Oryctolagus cuniculus: one gene and its partners. Each later gene encodes a partner of the first gene's protein in a complex. Links are inferred from orthologs where the notes say so. Each region holds a gene or a part of one and is shown in the gene's direction. Other genes may lie near its edges.

Region 1 (3,741 bases):
TGGTTTCAGGTCGAACTCCTTAAACTGCTTCTGGAAATCCCCCCACGGGACTGTGGCTGTCTTTTAGGGCAACCTTAAATCTAGATCCATTCCTAACCAGTTTCTCCCTTCCTCACCAGCCATATTCTTTCGCTTCCCCAGTTTCCAATTTCCCAAATCTTCAACCTCTCCGAATTAGTCCAATCAAACTTTCCCTTCTTAGACCTCTTCCCTACGTTCTCACCAGGAAACTCCCAGGAGAATCACGTGGCCAAGTTTGTCCTTAACGGCGCTCCGTAGTTCTACTACTCCACCGCCCTCCCCTAGCCGCTGCCAGCTTCGCCCCGCCCCATTCTCGCTCCCCTACCCCCTGCGAAATGCTTGCGCCTGCGCATCTCCAATTCAGGCGCTTTCCCTTTCCTGGCGACCAATCCACTTCCTACCTCCGGTCCTCGAAACACTCCTCCCCTCTACTGGGGCCCTGGCTAGAGGCGCTGGTAGTCGCTGCCCAGTTGATTGCCTGTCTGAAAAAGTCGCTTCTCTCTTCAACTGGGGAATTTGAACGAGCCGCTAAATGAGCGGCACCAACACGAGCCTTTGCTCTAGACCTTTCACCCCGGAGCCAAGCTGAGGGCATCGGCATGCGGGAGGACGGGCGGCCCGGAGCGTTTTCGATCCGGCACTCTCGCGGACAGCTTCTTCCTTTCCCCCCTCCCTCCGCCCCGCCCCCACCCTCAGCCCGGCCGCGCTGGTGAGTGGCGGGCGGGAGAGCGGGCGGGCGGAGGGAGGAGGGGGAGCTGAGGGAAGGCGGGCCCTCGGCTGCGAGAGAGGTGGGGGGAGGGGAGGGGAGAGCCCGAGCGCTGGAGTTGGTGCTGGGAAACCCGGGGCTAATGTTGACAACAGGCTCGAGGTGAGTCCCGGGGAGCCTCCTGCCTCTCCGCGCCAACGACCGGGAGGAAGTAGGGCTGAGGGCGGCTGGGGGGGGGGGCACCGGCCTGGACTCCTACTCCCTGGGGGGACCCAAAAGGCGACTCCGTACCTCAGCTCTCCGGGGGCGGCGAGCAGTGGAGGGACCGTGTGGGTCCGGCGTCGCCCTCCTCAGACCCCCTCTCCCGGAGGCTTCCTTCAACGCGGGAACCCCGGGCCGTGGCAGGCATGGGGAGCGGGAGAGGAGGTGCCTGCCCCACATGCCTGGGCCGGGCCTCGGCGCTGGAGGCGGGGAGCCTGCCGTGGCCGGGTTGAAGGTGTTTGGGGGCGTGGAGTGAAGCGAGGGGAGGCTGGGGGACGCGCCTGGGGGAGCCGGGAGGACGGCTAAGGCAAGGAGGTGGGCAGGGTGCGTGAGTGGGAGGAGGTGCTGCGGGGCGGGCGTGCGGGACGCGAAGTTAGGATTGGGGCAAGGGTGTCCGGCGAAGGTGACTGTGGATGGCCGAGGGGAGGGGGGGCTTGTGGCGGGCGAGCGGTGTGGGGCCCGAGCTGAGGTTCGGGACAGAGGTGTGTGTCGGGGACGGGGTCCTGGGCGTCTTGGGATGTGGGCGTGGGTGTGTGGTTTACTTCCTTGTAGTCCCTCGGGCTGGTTGATTCTGCGCTTCGCCCTCACCCCCAGGACTCCAGGTGCTTCCTTGTTAGTACCGTGCAACTAAGGAGGTGATCCCGGGGTGGCATTGGGTCTCCAGCTCGGCGGAGCGGGGGCCCGCTTTCACATTTGGGGGAACACACGGGAGCGACTGGGCCCTCGGCTCCTTGGCTCCTGATAGGATTTGTACCCAAGTGGAGCGATCGCCGACCCTTGTCATGTATCACGGTCTTTTTCGGTTGTTTTTAAAAATCCGACCAATTGGCAAAGAATACCGTGTTTGATGACATGTCTCAAAATTTTGGGTTAGCCGTTTTCTCCAAGGACACCCTTTTAAAGGGGGAGATAATGCCCTTAGAACATTTTGAATAGCAGGAGTATTTTCAGAGCAGTCTAATTGTGATTTCACACACAATCCATATGGTACTTGCAAACGAGTATCTTTAAAAGAGAAACACTCCAATTCTCTGTGCTTTCTCCGTTAGTCCCACTTTTACTAGTCAAGACGTTTTACTTTGTTTTGGAAGTTCAGAGTATATTTTTTAAAAAAAGCAAAATAATACAGCCCAAGTGTCAAGACACTATTTTGGGAGCTAGAAGGTGGTTTTTTAGCATAGGTTCCTTCTCAGGACCATCTGAATGTAACTGTGCTCAGTGAAATAATTTCTAAGCGCTGATATTCCAATTAAAAGATCACTAATTTGTATCTTGATTATTTTAAGTTATTTTGAGAGGAATCTGAAGATTTTACTGGAAAAACTTGGAGGCATTTAGTTTACATGAAATGCTTGAGTAGCAAAGTTTGAATTAAAAAGTCTAGTGCTTTATTATGTAATTTAATGAATGGTTCACTTAACGTGATATGGCTCTGAATCCTGTCATTTGCCATATGTTTTGCTTGCTTTCTTAAATCTTAGGGCCAGTATTTGTAGTAGAAAAGAGTGCTGGCAGTGAGTCCTGGTCCAGTCACTAAACTAGTTGTATAATTTTGGGCAGAAAATACTGCTACCAACCAAGTCAATGTAAAAATAGAGAATTGGGGTAGATAGAATCTAATGGTCTTACCTTTAAAAATCTCTCATCTGATGAACTTGTCAGTGTTCTGTGTCAAAGAGAACCAGTATTTATTGGATGCCTCCCTCATGCTAGCTACTGTGTTAGCATTTGGGAACTCAGAGAAGCAGCCATTTCTCCATTTTGTCCAGTAAATAGACGTAGAAACGAAGTTGCTTGGTATCAGTAACTTCTCGATCCCAGAGTTGGGGTGCAAACTTTTACTGACTTCAAAGACCGCACATGTTGTTTTCACAAGTTGCACGGAATGCTGCCTCCATGTGAACTGTTAGTTTTTTGTAGTTGTTCCCTGAGATCTTGTTCCAGATATGCTCGGAGGGTATGTCTGTAATAGAGTGATGAAGTGATTTAAAGAATATATCAGTACAGGGATGGGCTTTTGGAGCAGGGGCTGCTCACATCCCTATCACAGTGCCTGCTTTGAGCTCTAGCTACTTTGCTTTCCATCCAGCTCCCTGCTGGTGTGCATCCTGGGAGGCAGCAGGTGATGTCTTAAGTACTTGGGCTCCTTCCGACCCACACAGGAGACCTGGATGGAGTTCTGGCCTCCTGGTTTTGGCCTAGCCCAGCCCTGGCTGTTGCACGATTTGAGGAATCAAGAGGATGGAAGATCTCCCTGTCTCTCTGCTTTTCAAATGAAATTAAAGTAAATAAATAAAAATTTTAAAAGTGAAGAGGGAAAAAAGGGCCACCCTCCAGAAAGAATATGTCAGGACTGAGACACTTGAGGGTCTTAATGAGAATCTTTTTTTTTTTTTTTTTTTTTTTTTTTAAAGAAACTGTTTATTTACTTATTTGAAAGGCAGAGTGACAGCCAGACAGATCTTCCATCTCACGTTTCACTTCCTAAATGGCCACCATGGCCAGGGCTGTGGTGAAGGCCAAGCTGAAGTCAGCAGCCAGGTATTCCCTCTGGATCTCCCACCTGGATGGCAGGAATTCAAACACTTGAGCCAGCATCCACCACTTCCCAGGTGCATTAGTAAGGAACTGGATCAGAAGTGAAGCAGCTGGGACTTGAACTTGGCACTCCGGTGTGGGATGTGGGCATCCCATGTGGCTGCTTAACCAGCTGCGCTGTACTACTACCCACTGGAGAATCTCTTTTATGTGCT
Region 2 (3,641 bases), on another chromosome or scaffold:
TGGAGCGCAGTGTGGGGCTCCCACGCGGTGGCAGGACTCCAAGGCCTTGAGCGGTCAGTGCTGCCTCCCCGGCTGTGTTAACAGGAAGCCGGCCTTGCGAGTGGGGCCAGGACGTGAACCCAGGGGTCCCAAGTGTCGTCTTATCCGATTGGCCAGATGGCCCCGTGGGCTGGCCCTGATGGCTGACACTGTCACACGCTCCCGGGGGGGCTCCCCCAGCCGTGGGGGGCCGCAGCCTTTTGAGGGATCTGATCCTGGCTTGCAGATGGCTCGTCCCCACACCCCGGCTGTGTGGTGGCCGGGGAGCCTTGGCCTGGCTAGGGGCCTCCCCAGTGACGCTGTCCTCCGGCCAGGTCGGCCCCGAGGGCGTCCTGCAGAATGGGGCCGTGGACGACAGCGTGGCCAAGACCAGCCAGCTGCTGGCCGAGCTCAACTTCGAGGAGGATGAGGAGGACACCTACTACACCAAGGACCTGCCGGTCCACGCCTGCAGGTGAGCGGGCCGTGGGTGGAAGGAGACGCTGGCCAGAGGGCGCCCGGGCCCGTGCGAGTGGTGACAGCCGCCTGGTGGCTCCCGCAGGGCAGGGCTGTCCCTTGCGATTGGACTTGGCCTTGCATTTTGTTCCTCTCGCATGAGGGGTCTGCAGCCCCAGGAAGTGAACTGAGTTTACTCGGGGCCCCTCTGTGACACGCGGGTTCCAGACGGGGTCCTGGCTCGGCACGCGACACCACCCGGAGCCAGCGTTTCCGCGGGCGGGCCGGGGCCCTGCCAGGTGCCGCCTGCCGCGCCTGCGCCCGTTCCCCGGGAGCGCAGCGCCCTCTGCCGGGGCCCGCTGGGACCGCCGCCGCCGGCTGCTGCATGGAGGCCCGAGGGGAGGGCCCAGGCCTGCGTGGGCAGCGCGCCTGGCGGGGCTGGGCCCCGCTGCCCGCGCCCCTCCCCGGGAGCTGGGGGCCACCTGCCTCCTCCCCCGTCCTCTCGGGTGCACGGAGCCTGTGCAGTTAACGGAGTTGGTGCTGAGGCCGGGGTTGTTGGGTTTGAGGACGTGTTTAATGAAAAACGTAAACACGTAAGAGGAAAGACCTTTACGTGCTGGCCAGTGAGGGCCGGAGCGCTCCGCCCGCTGTAACGGCGCCCCTGGGCCTCCGCAGCTACTGCGGCATCCACGACCCCGCCTGCGTGGTCTACTGCAACACCAGCAAGAAGTGGTTCTGCAACGGGCGCGGCAACACTTCCGGCAGGTAGGCAGCACTTCCGGCAGGTGGGGCCGGCGCGGGCGGGGTCCTGACTCCCGGGTGGAATCCGGGTCGCGGGCTCCCCTGCTGCCGGGGCTGGGGCGCTCCCTGCCCGGGCCCTGTGGCATTGGTGCCCCCTGGGGGCCGCTGCCAGGAAGGCCACGCCCCGCGGCCGGGCGGCTCAGCGCCGGGTCCAGGGCCTGCAGGAGGCTGGTTTGGTTTGGTTTGGTTTTTTCGGTGTTCAAGCGCGGCCCCCGTGTGCTCGTTCCCTCCCCCGCCTGGGGGCCAGGCCCTCGGTCTGCCGGGTGGGTGGTCGTCGCCTCTGCCCGCCTGGTGCGGGAGGGCGGGGAGCTGGGTCCAGAGCTGCGCACGGCTGTCCCGTGGGGGCAGGGGGCTTGCTGAGCCAAGTGCCCACCCCGGGGGCCGGTGTTTTCAGATGATTTTAGCAGAAACGCCTCTTGTTTCAGTTGCTCTGTGTGCGTGAGTCTGACCCGAGGGCGAGGGAGCGGCTGGGGGGCCCTGGGGAGCTCGTGGAACCTGGACGGCAGCTGTGGGGCGCAGGGTCCGGAGCGCCGCCGGCTCTGTCCCGGGACCCCCCCATCCCCACCCCCGGCCACGGACGCCCTCGGTGTTTCTTCCCGCGCCGCTTGTAGTGCTCGGGTGCTCGGCTTCCCGGCCTGCCGCGGGGTGGGGGCGCAGGGGCGGCTGGGAACCCAGGGAGCACACGAACCAAGGCCCCAAGGCCGGGGTGTCCCCCAGCGGGGGCCGGGGGCCGAGTGGTGAGGGAGGGGCCCGTGCGGGGCGCTCAGTGTGCCGCCCGGCCGCAGCCACATCGTGAACCACCTGGTGCGGGCCAAGTGCAAGGAGGTGACGCTGCACAAAGACGGGCCGCTGGGCGAGACGGTGCTGGAGTGCTACAACTGCGGCTGCCGCAACGTCTTCCTGCTGGGCTTCATCCCCGCCAAGGCCGACTCGGTGGTGGTGCTGCTGTGCAGGTGCGGCGCGGGGCGGGGCGGCGCGGGGCGGGGACTCAGTGGTGCGGGGGGGGGGGGGGCTCGGTGGTGGTGGGAGGGGGCGGGGCTGGGGCTGCCGCTCACCGCTCCCCTGCCCCGCCCCCGCAGGCAGCCCTGCGCCAGCCAGAGCAGCCTCAAGGACATCAACTGGGACAGCTCACAGTGGCAGCCGCTGATCCAGGACCGCTGCTTCCTGTCCTGGCTGGTGAAGATCCCCTCGGAGCAGGAGCAGCTGCGCGCGCGCCAGATCACCGCCCAGCAGATCAACAAGCTGGAGGAGCTGTGGAAGGTGGGTGGGGCGGGCGGGCCACGGCCCAGCCAGTCAGTCAGCTGGGGGAGCTGTGGGGGCGGGGCGGGGGCGGGGCGGACCAAGGCCCAGCCAATCAGCTGGAGGAGCTGTGGAAGGTGGGCGGGGGCGGGGCGGGCCACGGCCCAGCCAATCAGTCAGCTGGGGGAGCTGTGGAAGGTGGGCGGGGGCGGGGCGGGCCACGGCCCAGCCAATCAGCTGGAGGAGCTGCGGGGGCGGGAGCGGGCGGGGCTGAGCGGTGCGCTGCCCTGCCCCAGGAGAACCCGGCGGCCACGCTGGAGGACCTGGAGAAGCCGGGCGTGGACGAGGAGCCGCAGCACGTGCTGCTGCGCTACGAGGACGCCTACCAGTACCAGAACATCTTCGGGCCGCTCGTCAAGCTGGAGGCCGACTACGACAAGAAGCTGAAGGAGTCGCAGGTGACGTGGCCGCGGCCCGGCCGCAGGCAGCACGGGGGCGCGCGCGGGGCCGCGGGGCGGGCGCTGACCGGGCCTTGTCTCCCTGCTCAGACGCAGGACAACATCACGGTCAGGTGGGACCTGGGCCTTAACAAGAAGAGAATCGCCTACTTCACTTTGCCCAAGACTGACTCTGGTAATGAGGATTTAGTCCTAATTTGGTTAAGAGGTGATTTTAAGTTTTGAACTCCTTGTGCCGTGGTAGCGCCAAGCCCCTGTGTCGCCCCGAGCGGGCGCCGGGCGCGGGAGCCGGCGGGGGCCGCGCTGACGCCGCCCCTCCCCGCAGACATGCGGCTCATGCAGGGCGACGAGATCTGCCTGCGCTACAAGGGCGACCTGGCGCCGCTCTGGAAGGGCATCGGCCACGTCATCAAGGTCCCGGATAGTATCCTTGCCTGCGGGCGGGGGGCGGGGGCGGGGGGCGGCGGGCTCGCAGCACGCACCCACGCGGGCCGGCAGGCCGGGCGCGGGCGCCGCCGCTTCTTGACGCGGACGCGGACTTGACTCAGCGCCCAGACTACGGCGACGAGATCGCCATCGAGCTGCGCAGCAGTGTGGGCGCGCCCGTGGAGGTGACGCACAACTTCCAGGTGGACTTCGTGTGGAAGTCCACGTCCTTCGACAGGTGCG
Region 3 (3,641 bases), on another chromosome or scaffold:
TAAAAAAAAAAGGGCAGGCCGGCGCCGCAGCTCACTAGGCTAATCCTCCGCCTTGCGGCGCCGGCACACCGGGTTCTAGTCCCGGTCGGGGCGCCGGATTCTGTCCCGGTTGCCCCTCTTCCAGGCCAGCTCTCTGCTGTGGCCAGGGAGTGCAGTGGAGGATGGCCCAAGTCCTTGGGCCCAGCACCCCATGGGAGACCAGGAGAAGTACGTGGTTCCTGCTATCGGATCAGCGCGGTGCACCAGCAGCAGCGTGCCGCGCCGGCAGCAGCGCACCGGCCGCGGCGGCCATTGGAGGGTGAACCAACGGCAAAGGAAGACCTTTGTCTCTCTCTCTCTCTCACTAGCCACTCTGTCCAAAAAAAAAAAAAAAAAAAGGCAACATACCATATGAGCGCCAGTTCATTTCCTGACTGTTCTGCTTCAATCCAGTTCCCTGCAAATGCACCTGGGAAACCAATGGAGAATGGTCCAAGTACTTAGGCCCCTGCCACCCAGATAAGAGACCTTAGTGGAGTTCCTGGCTTTGTAGCCATTTGGGAAGTGAACCAGAAGATGGAATATCTCTGTATCTGTCTCTCCTCCTCTCTCTGTTATTCTGCCTTTCAAATAAATTTTTTAGAAAGAGCAATGTAATGATTCTGATATGTCACCTTTCTGAAGCCAAAAGTATCTAGGAGAAAACTTCAGGATTTACCATCCCTTCCAGTGCCACATCTAGGGTTTCTGCCCAACTTATCTTTTTGGAACATCTGATTTTTTATGTTGAGTTTACCCAAAGTAAGGTATAGCCATACAGGAATTGTTTATATACTATACCTAATACTCTCAGAAGGTTCCATAGCTGTAACTTTCAGTTGTCCCCTGAGTGTGACTCTGGATTGGTAGAAGCAGTGGTAGAGGCTGACATTGTGGCCTAGCAGTTAAGCCACTGTATCTACCATGGGCATCCCTATGAGCACCAGTTCGAGTCCAGGCTGCTCTGCTTCCTATCCAGCTCCCTGCTAATGTGCCTGAGAAAGCAGCAAAAGATGGCCCAAATGCTTGGGCTCCTGCTACTCACATGGGAGACCCAGATGAAGTGCCTAGCTCCTGGCTGTTACAGCCATTTGGGGAGTGAACCAGCAGATGGAAGATCTCTCTGTCCTTCTGTGTAACTCTGCCTTTTGAATAATTAAATAGATCTTTTTAAAAAATATCCCATATAATATCCCCCGTGGTTCTGTTATGATGTGTGGTATCTCATTTTTCCTGACTCCCGTGTTATACAAGACTTCTATAATGGGTACTGGCAGTAGCATTTCTATTTGTGACCACGTAAGCCCTAAATAGTCTATCTTGTGGGTATGCTTTTTTTTTTTTAATCTTCCATGAAGTAGGATATTACCCTCTTTGATACTTAAGTATCCTATATAATTCTATATAATATTTGGTCTTTCATTTAAAGTCTACTATACTTTCTGGTTCCTTGAACAATTATTTAGATCCAGAATATAGAAAATTTTTGGAAAGTTATGCTACAGACAATGAGAAAATGACATCTACTCCAGAGACACTGCTAGAGGAAATAGAAGCAAAAAATAGAGAATTAATAGGTAAGTGGGCAAGAGGAATTAGGGGAAGGGCTTTTTCTTTTTCTTTTTTTTTTTTTTTTTTTTTTTTTTTTTTTTTGCTTAAGTCTGTCTCCCACTTCCATCACTTCCTAGCTCAGTGACCTTGGAGAAGTCACTTACTTCTCTGAGACTGTTTCTTCTGCTGAGAAATGCACATGATAATACTTGCCTTGTAATATAAGTGTGAAAAGACTGATAAGGGGAATTTAGATAATGGTAAGCTTTTGAAGATCAATTGATATTTCCTAGCAACAAAAAGTTAATGTTCATAAAAACTTTGACCTACAAATAAATATAAGTAAAGATATACGTAAAGAAATTGATTATATATCTTGTATTTAAATATATATATATGTATATACACATATAAAGGAATTGGTTACTACAAAAGTGAAAACCTCTTGAGAAATTCTAGCTTGGATGTTGGTTCTAAGTAATAGGCTGTCACTACTGTATCAGTAACTAAACACCAGTTGAGTCTCACCCCAGATTTCCACTCCTAGGAATTTATCTTAAGAAAGTATGTATTTAAAAAGTAGTTATAGAGCTAATAGCACTGTTCAGAATGTAGAAAAATGAAGCTGAATATTCTTCTTGAAAACTTGATTTTTTATTAATCAGATTAAGCTCATTTCTGGTAACTTTCTTAGAATAAACTCCCAGAAGCAGAATTATGAGATCAAAAGCATTAGATCTTTTTAATTCCTTTCCTCAATTTCTTTCCAATTGAAAAAATTCATATTCTTATTAGTAAAACAAGAGAATGTCCTTTGTACTTAATTCTTACTAACTAGAAATTACTCTGTTAAAAATTGTTTGATTGCCTTAATTTTAATTTCTTCAGTTTTTAAGATGTACTTTAAACCTCTGTTGCTAAAATGGGATACAGTAAAACTACTTCCCAGTAATATAGTTGTTAACTTTCTGTTTAAGGGGTATAGTTTTCCCACCTTGGGTGGATGGCAGGGAATGTCAGGAAATGGAATCCTTGCTAGAGAGTGATGAGTATTATTAATAATCTGTTTACATTTATGTAGCTAAAAAGACAACCCCACTTTTGAGCTTCCTGAAAAACAAGCAGGTAAACCTTTTGTTTTTATAGTTCTCTGAATACTTTCATTGGTTCACATTCTGTAAATATTTTAAGAGCATTGGGGTCCTGTAGTTCAAGAAAGAGCTGCTTTTTCCACCACTGTTCTTTATAAAGATTGGACTTGCGAGTCTCATTCTCTGGTCCTCTCTCTCACTCTGTAAACCTGGAGAGTCCTTAGCTTCTCCCAGAGACCCTGTCTTGATATTCTGAAGGCCTCTGGACAGAACAGCAAGGCAGCAGGGGGAGACTGACACTAGCAGGTCCTGGTCTTCATTCTCTATCCCTTTCTGGGCGGGGTGGAGGTTACGGAGGCTGTAGAAAGATGATCCAGTGTAGTGGGAGCCCATCATGCCTTTGGGATTGATTAGGTTTTTGATGATGATTATCTTACTTGAAGGTTTGTGTTGATGTTTCTTCTAGAGAATGAGAGAAGAAAAGAGAGAAGAAAGAAGGCGACGAGAAATAGAAAGAAAACGGCAGAGGGAAGAAGAGAGAAGAAAGTGGAAAGAAGAAGAGAAACGAAAAAGGAAAGATATAGAAAAGCTGAAGAAGATAGACAGAGTTCCAGAAAGGGACAAATTAAGGGATGAACCAAAGATAAAGGTATGAAGATAATTTAAATTGACTGCATGCTGTTGAAAATTGCATGTATCTACATCTTTAAATATGCATGCATGTTGTATTGGTGTAAATCAGTTTTTTGTTTTGTTTTTATCCTTTTGGGGGGGAATGAACCAATAGAAATCTTTCCTGTAATGTTATTTTTTTTAATTTAAGATCATTTAAAATGAGAAGTAGTTTACATGATGTTATCATTTCTTTAGTGCAGATCTATGTTCTTTTTATCATTGAAAATATTCAATTTTTAGATTATTCTCTCAATTCATAATAAATGAGGGCTTAGGGCTGGCTGGCATGAATTACGGGTTTTATTC

Evidence for each region.
Region 2: the proteins of UPF2 (region 1) and UPF1 are in contact, whole or in part, in a crystal structure (PDB 2WJV), measured with the Homo sapiens proteins. The link is inferred for Oryctolagus cuniculus from reciprocal best matches to the Homo sapiens genes UPF2 and UPF1. Residues at the interface, in NP_056357.1 of Homo sapiens: Val1105, Cys1107, Glu1109, Asp1110, Phe1113, Ile1114, Ala1116, Leu1117, Met1120, Met1121, Asn1124, Leu1125, Arg1128, Met1169, Pro1170, Phe1171, Val1172, Met1173, Leu1174, Thr1175, Gln1181, Lys1184, Leu1186, Asn1187, Val1188, Pro1189, Ser1192, Gln1193, Leu1194, Asn1197; in NP_001284478.1 of Homo sapiens: Asn150, Thr151, Ser152, Gly153, Val157, Asn158, Leu160, Val161, Arg162, Lys164, Lys166, Pro175, Leu176, Gly177, Thr179, Tyr184, Cys188, Asn190, Val191, Phe192, Leu193, Phe196, Pro198, Asp202, Ser203, Val204, Val205, Val206, Leu207, Cys209.
Region 3: the proteins of UPF2 (region 1) and UPF3B are in contact, whole or in part, in a crystal structure (PDB 7NWU), measured with the Homo sapiens proteins. The link is inferred for Oryctolagus cuniculus from reciprocal best matches to the Homo sapiens genes UPF2 and UPF3B. Residues at the interface, in NP_056357.1 of Homo sapiens: Lys767, Arg768, Pro769, Pro770, Leu771, Glu773, Tyr774, Lys777, Lys790, Arg793, Gln794, Arg796, Lys797, Leu798, Pro799, Trp800, Gln801, Cys811, Ile814, Asn815, Trp817, Tyr837, Gln838, Glu839, Asp840, Ile843, His844, Val846, Asp847, Gly848; in NP_542199.1 of Homo sapiens: Lys52, Arg56, Arg57, Tyr79, Glu81, Phe83, Asn85, Asp86, Thr87, Ser88, Leu89, Tyr90, His92, Tyr94, Arg96, Tyr98, Ile130, Glu132, Pro135, Phe136, Lys138, Ala139, Ala140, Arg147, Asp148, Lys150, Val151, Gly152, Thr153, Ile154.

The regions. Positions count from the first base shown.
Region 1 is NC_091444.1:71,004,923-71,008,663, forward strand, and holds the start of UPF2 (regulator of nonsense transcripts 2), read left to right. Parts: upstream 1-896; 5' UTR 897-1,166; coding exon 1,167-1,223; exon of another isoform or gene 1,224-1,303; intron 1,304-3,741. UniProt on the Homo sapiens protein: Involved in nonsense-mediated decay (NMD) of mRNAs containing premature stop codons by associating with the nuclear exon junction complex (EJC).
Region 2 is NC_091447.1:65,854,708-65,858,348, forward strand, and holds part of UPF1 (regulator of nonsense transcripts 1), read left to right. Parts: intron 1-353; coding exon 354-493; intron 494-1,149; coding exon 1,150-1,239; intron 1,240-2,060; coding exon 2,061-2,228; intron 2,229-2,354; coding exon 2,355-2,535; intron 2,536-2,810; coding exon 2,811-2,972; intron 2,973-3,062; coding exon 3,063-3,180; intron 3,181-3,297; coding exon 3,298-3,396; intron 3,397-3,503; coding exon 3,504-3,636; intron 3,637-3,641. UniProt on the Homo sapiens protein: RNA-dependent helicase required for nonsense-mediated decay (NMD) of aberrant mRNAs containing premature stop codons and modulates the expression level of normal mRNAs.
Region 3 is NC_091453.1:73,250,667-73,254,307, forward strand, and holds part of UPF3B (regulator of nonsense transcripts 3B), read left to right. Parts: intron 1-1,484; coding exon 1,485-1,595; intron 1,596-2,650; coding exon 2,651-2,694; intron 2,695-3,126; coding exon 3,127-3,309; intron 3,310-3,641. UniProt on the Homo sapiens protein: Involved in nonsense-mediated decay (NMD) of mRNAs containing premature stop codons by associating with the nuclear exon junction complex (EJC) and serving as link between the EJC core and NMD machinery.